Drosophila melanogaster: one gene and its partner. The protein of the gene in region 1 purifies or fractionates together with the protein of each later gene. This does not show direct contact. Each region holds a gene or a part of one and is shown on either strand. Other genes may lie near its edges. The genes, in order: l(2)efl and cher.

The links.
Region 2: the proteins of l(2)efl (region 1) and cher purify together in Drosophila melanogaster (affinity purification with western blotting; one study listed by BioGRID). This does not show direct contact.

What each region holds. Positions count from the first base shown.
Region 1 is NT_033778.4:23,683,911-23,687,436, reverse strand, and holds l(2)efl (lethal (2) essential for life), read left to right. Parts: upstream 1-1,893; 5' UTR 1,894-1,961; intron 1,962-2,051; exon of another isoform or gene 2,052-2,054; coding exon 2,055-2,442; intron 2,443-2,504; coding exon 2,505-2,680; 3' UTR 2,681-2,786; downstream 2,787-3,526. Other genes in the region: St3 (sulfotransferase 3), read right to left, coding at 1-5, 121-203, 273-404, 560-899, 2,926-3,063, 3,117-3,189, 3,251-3,526. UniProt on the Drosophila melanogaster protein: Vital role in embryonic development.
Region 2 is NT_033777.3:17,122,167-17,127,365, reverse strand, and holds the start of cher (cheerio), read left to right. Parts: upstream 1-1,976; 5' UTR 1,977-2,127; coding exon 2,128-2,153; intron 2,154-2,579; exon of another isoform or gene 2,580-2,607; coding exon of another isoform or gene 2,608-2,877; exon of another isoform or gene 2,878-2,889; intron 2,890-4,683; exon of another isoform or gene 4,684-4,953; coding exon of another isoform or gene 4,954-4,968; intron 4,969-5,199. Other genes in the region: CG31269 (uncharacterized protein), read right to left, coding at 1-235; CG17477 (uncharacterized protein), read left to right, coding at 436-1,239; CG45079 (uncharacterized protein), read right to left, coding at 2,608-2,877. UniProt on the Drosophila melanogaster protein: Involved in the germline ring canal formation. May tether actin microfilament within the ovarian ring canal to the cell membrane. Contributes to actin microfilaments organization.

The DNA of each region.
Region 1 (3,526 bases):
GCGAGCTGGGAAATGCGAAAGTAATTGCATAAAACCGAATCGGGGGAAGCAAATCTAATTCGGTTTCGGTTTCCCCCGTCGCATTGCATTCCGGGCACTCGGCCGGAAACGGAAACTTACCGGCAGTAGGAGAACTGGGGGCACTTGCAGCGGAAGAGGCTCTGGAACTCCTCCTTACACACCTCGTTCCACCAGCAGGTGCGCTAGAATGCATTGGAAACGAAAGGGTTATCTCGCTGCCACTATGTACCACCTGTTATCCTTTGGGGCACCTCGGTCATGTAGCCGTGGACACTCTGATCCGAGTAGCTTCGCTTCGAGAGATGCGCCTGCACGGGGCAGAAGAGCAGTGTCACCACCAGAAGCAACAGTCGTGACGTCACGGGCAGCGAGTGGGGGGCGAACTGTAATGCAGCGAAGAAAGTGAAACCCAATCCGACATATAACCCCAAAGTGCCTCCGAAAGCACTACTACAACTACTTTCCACTGCATACTCGTGAACACCTTTAGGAGCTAGGAGTTGCACTCCTGTGATTTTTGTTTATTTTTGGAGCTCACCATCGTACAGCTTCCTCTGTTGACGTCTTGACTTATCCTCCGCTCCCAAAGTACAGTGAACACTTCACGTCCTGCGATGAATGTCGCCTGTTTTCCGTTTTTGGCCTCCCTTTGGGGCGGTGGCGTCGGCATCTCGGCATCTCGGCTGCCTTGCATAAGCATAAGTATTGGCCCCGTTCGCCCTCGGCTTTCAGCTTTCACTACTTTCACACGCACACACAGCCATCGAGTGCATGCACTGCTGCACTGGTGTTGGTGTGCTTTTGGCCCATTTCGAAGGGTGATTGCCTCACTGTTTGTTTGGCTGTGTTGGGTACACAATCCACTACAGGGCCAGTCCCTAAAATGTTAGGAACAGAAAACATATATGAGATTGTATGAAAATGTACCATTTTAACAGGTGCAGCAAATGAAAAGAAGATACTTGTTTGTAACTAGCTGAACTTGTACTTGCATCACTGGTAAATTAGATATGAACACTAGAGGGCGGCACTTTGTTTTTGATATAGTATATGTTCGCGATGATATATTTTAAGAAGTAAAACTTTATGATTGATGAGCTACTAATTCAAGCAAATTGCTGGTATAATTTTCAAAACAATGCTTGAAAATTCCTTTGTTTTGAGCGACGTCATCTCTTTCGTCTGATAGAAAACGCACGCGACATGACTCAGCAGAGGAAAAGCGAGAAATAAGAAAAAGTGGCAGATGCTTAAAATAGTTCATAAAGTCATTTAGTGGCCAAAGTATTTTTATATTAGCCGCGTCAAATCAACACTCTCAACAGGTAGAAAATTATGAAAATTCCTATATATCTAAAGAGTAAAGGGGGCGTAAAAGTGTCGAGAAATTCTTCTGGCATTTTCCAGAACACATTTTGCACTTTGGATTTTCGGTTTTCGAAAAAATATTATACAGAATAGAATTTGCATACAAACTGCGGGAATTTGTGTAGGCTTGCTTTTTAATACTCTGCATACATACATATGTGTGTTGCTTCTGGAACAAACAATCGGAAACACTATCATTTGAACTCCGAAAAAGGCCTGTCTGAGCAGTGACTAATGGAATCTTCTTTGGGTCACCATCATCGTAATCACAGGCTGAGTCTGAGTCTTCAAATCCCACGACTCCCACGGTAACAAACAAAACAGGCTGAAATCGCTCGCAGATTCGCACCAAAGATATGTGTTTGGCATATATAGGTTCAGAATGTTCTCTAGAATGACGCTCGTTTAAATTTAGATGGGAAATAAATTTTCATATTTTTAGCCCGTGGGGGAAGATGTAAACAATCTGTTGAGGGTATAAAATCGTGTGAGTGCTCGAGGAGCTCCATCAAAATCGCAGCAGCCGCGAATCGAAGCAGACGCGTTTATCCAAGTGAATTGAATCTAAAAAGGTACGAGGAAGGACCAAGCCAACGCGGAATTTATTGAACAGTGAAGAAGTGAAGTGATTAGCTCACTATCGTCTCGTTTCTTGATCAAAGCAGATGTCCGTAGTGCCACTGATGTTCCGTGACTGGTGGGATGAGCTCGACTTTCCAATGCGCACCTCGCGCCTCTTGGACCAGCACTTCGGTCAGGGACTGAAGAGGGATGACCTCATGTCCTCCGTGTGGAACTCCCGCCCCACAGTGCTGCGATCGGGATACCTGCGCCCCTGGCACACGAACAGCCTGCAGAAGCAGGAGTCCGGTTCCACCCTCAACATCGACAGCGAGAAGTTCGAGGTCATTCTGGATGTGCAGCAGTTCTCGCCATCCGAGATCACCGTCAAGGTGGCCGACAAGTTCGTCATCGTGGAGGGAAAGCATGAGGAGAAGCAGGACGAGCACGGATATGTCTCCCGCCAGTTCTCCAGACGCTACCAGCTGCCAAGTGAGTCCGAATTCCATCAACAAAATAGGAAGTATGCTAAACGTGTATGATCCTTCCACTAGGTGATGTCAACCCCGACACGGTCACATCGTCCCTCTCCTCCGATGGCCTGCTGACCATCAAGGCGCCAATGAAGGCGCTGCCTCCTCCGCAGACTGAACGCCTTGTGCAGATCACACAGACTGGTCCCTCCTCCAAGGAGGACAACGCCAAGAAGGTGGAGACCTCCACCGCCTAGGACTCAATCCTTTTGTACCGCCTTCAGTGTTAGTTAGTTTATGTCTACGTGTGCCTTATATATTGGACTCTACATATTTTATATCAATTAAAACGAATCTTTAGATAAACATTTGAAGAACAAGGTGTTTGGTAGGTCAAACAGCTTGACCTTGCTTTATTTGCTCTCCTCTCTCGCTGTTATTTACTTCCGAGCTAAACCAAAAGATACAACATTATCTTGATTATTCTCAATATGTATCTTACTGATCTTTCAGGAGCAGTAGTTCGTCCAAAGTCACACCGTTCTTCGCAAGAACCTCTTGTATCCGGACATTGGCCTTCTCAATTTGTTCGGGCTTCAATTCGTCCTTGTAGCCATTGACATCCCCACGTCTCACGAATCTAGAGGATTACAAGTGAATGGTTGTTCGGAAAACTATGGGACTTTCTCTTACGGGTGCATTTCTTTCCCAGCATTTTCGTGTTGAACTTGGGCCAACTCCCACAGATGATTCGTGGTGGGATTTTCTGAAAAGAAAATTCGTTTAGCTCAATAAGATCATTGTTTCGGCATAGGCTTCTTGCATACTCTTCATTTCCGCGAAGGACAAATGCTTTAGCAGTTTCTCCATTTGCTGATCGTTGATGGGTTTATTCAGAAATCTGGAGACATCGTTGATCACTCCTCGCAGATCTTTCTTCATCATTTCAAAGCTGGTGTAGAATACCCAAGGCTCGTTCCTCAGTTGGTAGAACTCGTGGGCGTGTTCAATGAACTCCGTGGGGAAATCATCAGAGGCCAGCACCTCATCGAAGTACTGGTGCAGTGACTTCCCGTAATTGAAACCAAAAGATACTCCGTGAT
Region 2 (5,199 bases), on another chromosome or scaffold:
GAGCGGCTGTCAGGACGAAGGTCTCGTTTATTATGGCACCACCACAGGAGTGGGCACCGGAGATTCCCTGCAAGGATATCTGATAGGGAGCGAAGCCATCCTCAGCTGCCTGACCACCGATGATCCGTTGATCCTTGTAAAACCGACCATCCGTTGAGTTTCCCTTGATTCGTATGGCTGTTATGGATACGAGTCCCGAAAGACCCAACAAAATAAGTAAAACCACTGCCGACATCTTGTTACTGGCCCTGGTCAGCTAATGAAGTTTTCAGTCGTACTTGCTGCCTTCTTGACCATTTATCGGAATCAGATAAAAAATCAGTTTATGGCGCGATTGTTGGAACCTTTGGTCAGGCCATTTTGACTTTCGTATAGTTCAATCAAAATCGCGAAGGGTAAAACCAGACTAGCTCAGTCCGCGATTGCATTTCAGCCATGTCGCTTGCACGTTTCCTATTTTATATTCTCGTGTTCAGTTCACTCTACTGTGACTTATTGGCATTGGAGCACTTCATTGTGGGTGGCCAGAATGCAGCTGAAGGAGATGCCCCCTACCAGGTGTCGCTCCAAACTCTTTTGGGTAGTCACCTATGCGGTGGTGCCATCATATCGGACCGATGGATAATTACGGCTGGTCACTGTGTCAAAGGATACCCGACTAGCAGACTTCAAGTGGCCACTGGTACAATTCGCTATGCGGAACCAGGAGCTGTTTATTACCCAGACGCCATCTACCTGCACTGCAACTATGACAGTCCCAAGTACCAGAATGATATTGGCCTGCTCCACCTGAACGAGAGCATTACCTTTAACGCACTAACTCAGGCGGTTGAACTACCCACATCCCCTTTTCCAAGAGGAGCTTCGGAGCTGGTTTTCACCGGATGGGGATCTCAGTCAGCGGCGGGGTCGTTGCCATCGCAGTTGCAGCGTGTCCAGCAGCAACACCTCAACTCCCCGGCTTGCGAGTCCATGATGTCTGCCTACGAGGATCTGGAACTGGGACCTTGCCATATTTGTGCTTATCGTCAGGCAAATATTGGAGCCTGCCACGGAGATTCTGGAGGTCCTCTAGTTCACCAGGGCACCCTGGTGGGCATACTCAACTTCTTTGTACCCTGCGCCCAGGGTGTGCCTGATATATTCATGAATATAATGTACTACCGCGACTGGATGCGACAAACGATGAGTGGCAATGGCAAATGTGCACAGGTCAACCAGCAGACAATAGATGGATAAAAACATTTGAACTCATTAAAGAACCTCAATTCATAATGTAATTCCTTAATGCTGTAAATAATTTATTAATTTATTAAGCCATTTAAACATAAGATAATTCCCAAACTGCCAGCCTTGTATCAAATATCACCAAACATGCACCAAAACCGCATAAAACCCGCACCAAAGCCGCACACAAATCGCCACCAAGCCGCCAAGAAGCCGCTAACAAATCGCGTGCAAGTCGAACTGAAAACGAAGGGCAGGATGTATCCTCTACGGGTCACTCGTAAGGGATCATTCTGTACGGGGCATCCTCTATTTTTTTAATTACTTGGGTTGCTGTAGTTCACTTGTTTTTTGGCGGGAGTGGTGAATTATTTTAATGTTTCTGGAGGCAAGTGATATTCTTGGCCCACAGCCAGGAGTCCGTTCAGTCGGACAGCCGGAATGTCTTAGTGATTCAGCCACCCGCCGTTTTCTGATTTATTTCGGAAGAAGAGAAGTGTCGCACTGGTCACACGTGTCGTCCTGATCTAATTGGTAGCAGGTAGACCCAGACAGACGTGGTCTTAGTCATGATTTGAGTTGTGAGAAAAATTTCGACACAAATCGCTCACGGCGCATGGAAATTCTGAAAATATTTCTATCGGCACTCGCTGTTCAGATGGGGGAAAAACAACCGGGAAAACTCTCAGTTGTGGGCTGTATCTTGGCATTTTGAAAAAGATTTTCAGTTGCTGTATTGACTTGGACGTGTGCGGTGCGGGCCTCGAATTTTCTTGGAATACGCGGCGTATACGCAATCCGTGAGCTATATGTAGACGCGTGTCTTGCTCATATTTTTATATATACAGCAATATATAACAAGTGAAATTTCGCAACTTGTGCAAAGTCGAGGAAAAAATTATGTTAAATCCAGTGAAAATGCCAAAGTATGTGAAATAATTTTCCCAATTAAGGCAAAACGACTTTGCAATGTATTTTACATTCTTACCAAGAGCGATGAATATTGCGCTAAAAGTATACGGCCAAAAAAAAACCGTTCGAATAAATATATTACCAAAAATAAAATAGAATATTTTGTGTTATGTGAATTTCAGTTTGAAATATTGCGTACAAGGCGTTGCCATTTCGTGATATATTCAGACGATGAAAGGCCTCTTTGCTGGATCCCAAAGAAAGAGCCATTAAATGTTCAGTTGTGAGAGCGTAAAGTGCATTTATCTGTCGGGCACCAGATGTTAATAGAGCCTCTGATCTTTATTTAGCCTCAATCGCATGCTCTGCCGCACCTGGGGTATCTGCGGGGTATAGTACCTAAGGGGACCCGGCATATGTATTTCCCAAATGATTTATTTAACTAGGCGTACACGTTTAAGTGATTTTTTAATAGAAGACATAAACCTTTTGTGCACCCTTTAGCAGATTTGTGCAGGGTCCTTGGGTTTTTCCATCACATGGAGACCTGGAAGTTGACGAAGCAACAGGTGCAGATGTTGTAGTATCCTCCCAGTAGGGATACGATGTGGTAGAATCTCCGTACGGAACCCAAGATGATGAGTATGGGTCCCAATAATATCCGGATGACGTAGTTGAGTCAGAGCAATAGCAGCCTGCCAAGACGCAAAACAACGCAAAGATCGTTAAGAACCTCATTTTAGCCGGCATTAATACAAACTAATAAACGATAGATACAATTTTATCAATTATATACTTCTTATCTTATTTATTTTCAATTGTTTAAAGAAATAATACCTTAAAACAGTTGGGCAAATGCCAAATATTCAATAAAAAGCCTAATATTTAACTAATATTTATTTTTCATATTCTATTGCCAAATTAATCACCAGCTGTTGTATCTAAAAATTTTGAAATTTTCAGAAGACTTTGTATGATTCATTTGAAAGCCCACTGTGCCATTGTTTATTATATTCCAATTATTTTCTAAATATCCAAGTAACAGTGCCGAATCGGGAAAAGCTAAATAAAGCGTTGGCACGTGAAATTACTTGACGGCAACGGGGCGTATGCGCAACAAGAGATTTTAACAGCCCAAGCAGCTGTTGAATTAATTCAAACGCCATGAATAATGATGGTCAATAAAAATAAAATTTGTTTAAAAGTACACGCGCTGCGCGTTCACACGGAAATTAAATAGGTTTTGAGAAATGTTAGTACAGAGTTGTTATGAATGGTGTTTCATATCTAAGCATAATTAGATCTTAAAATTCTTACTGGTTTTTTGAAGTTCATAAAAATGGTGACTATAGTTTAGTTTTCTTAATTTTATTTTACGGATTGATTTTGGTAGATCACTTAAGACTTCCTAAAACCCCTTTTAAGCGCCATGATAGCACTGAAATCAGATAATCAGAATAAAATTGTTTGATATATTTAGCGTGCTCTTGCTGCGTTTTATCTTCAAACGAGCATAAACATTCAAGCCAAATAAAATCGAGGAATTTATGACAGCTGATTTGGCCGGAGCTAGTTAGTCATCTCACAAGAATAAACAACATACAACTGTACATATGCTTTTCATTTAAGAGTTCTACGGGTTCTACGATCCCCCGATTTGGGATTCTTTATCAGCGCCTCGTGAGTCAAATGACGGGGAAATGCGGAATGTACTTGGGGCGACCGCCAGAGATGGCCAAAAGCCAATCATTTTTGCAGGAGGCACTTTCAATTGTGACCAGCAGCAGAGAAGATTGAAGCAAAAACATAAAACACAAAAGACGGCAACCAGTTCTATGAAAAGAATAACAACAAAATCAGCTGCGCGTCGAAAATCACATTTGTGATGAGTTGCAGGGGGTGGGGGGGGATTGCGGGGCAAGCGGTGGGTGGGGACTGGGGGGTCTCATGTGGTAGCGTCGCCAAAAACCTGCCAAACAGAGTCAAGAGTGCAGTCGACGTCGACTGCGACTGCGACTGCGACGCCGAGTCAACGTCACACGCAATACCAAAAACACAACACAAAACATGAAGCGAGATAAATATTGAACAAATTATGTATTGAAGACCTTTGACAGACGAGGATGCACTTTTAGAAACTTGTGAGAAATGTATTCATTTATTTAATATGATCTGAAAAAAATAAAAATACAAACCACAATTTTATATTTTATACTATAACTATGATATACATAATAATATTGTATTCTAATTTCATTTCCAACTTGAAATAATAATAGAAAAAATCGAAGGCAAACCTTTGTTATCTGTCAACCAGTAGGAGTGTGTAGAAAGTATCTTTTGGAATTATAACCTATAAGCGTTACCTAATATTTGCTTAGGGAGTTACTTAAGATGATCCCCGTCTGTATGATTTATCTGAGAAAATAATAATAAAGAAATTGAGCAATAAGCGGCGAGCATTTGGCTGCATAAAAACTTTGAGCAAGGAGGCGCACACAACTCAGTCGAGTTGAGAAATTGTCGCGGCCAGTACGAGTACGTGTAGCAAAGAACCCGAAAGCAACGCGCGCATTTCGTGCACACATTTTCAAAACCAAAAGAAAGAAATTCTGAAATTTGTTTACGAAAAAAAACGAAGGATTTGCCAGTCGTGTTTGTGTTGTGTTTTTTTAGAGAGAAACGTGCTCGCCACGCCAGGAATTGTGTAATTAGCGGGCCATCAAGTGTTCAGTATTAAGCACCCCCACTAAAGTATTACAACTCGAGATCATTCGACAGCGATCCCTATCAACCAACAGAAAAACCATCGATATGGCGTCCAGAAAAGTGAGTTTTTTTTTTTGTTGTTTTGTGGGCCTAGGGTGGCCCTTATCCGATCGGCAAACGTTGCATTTCACCCACACGATTTTCCACGATATATTCACGACGAAAATGGAGGACATGTGGTTCTCATTACCTGTTCATAAAAACTAAATATTTGTCAATTTATTTTTAGTCCAATGGGCGGTCGAAATTTGCTCACTTGCGCCTTCGCTGTGCAAATGTTGGGTGTAATTT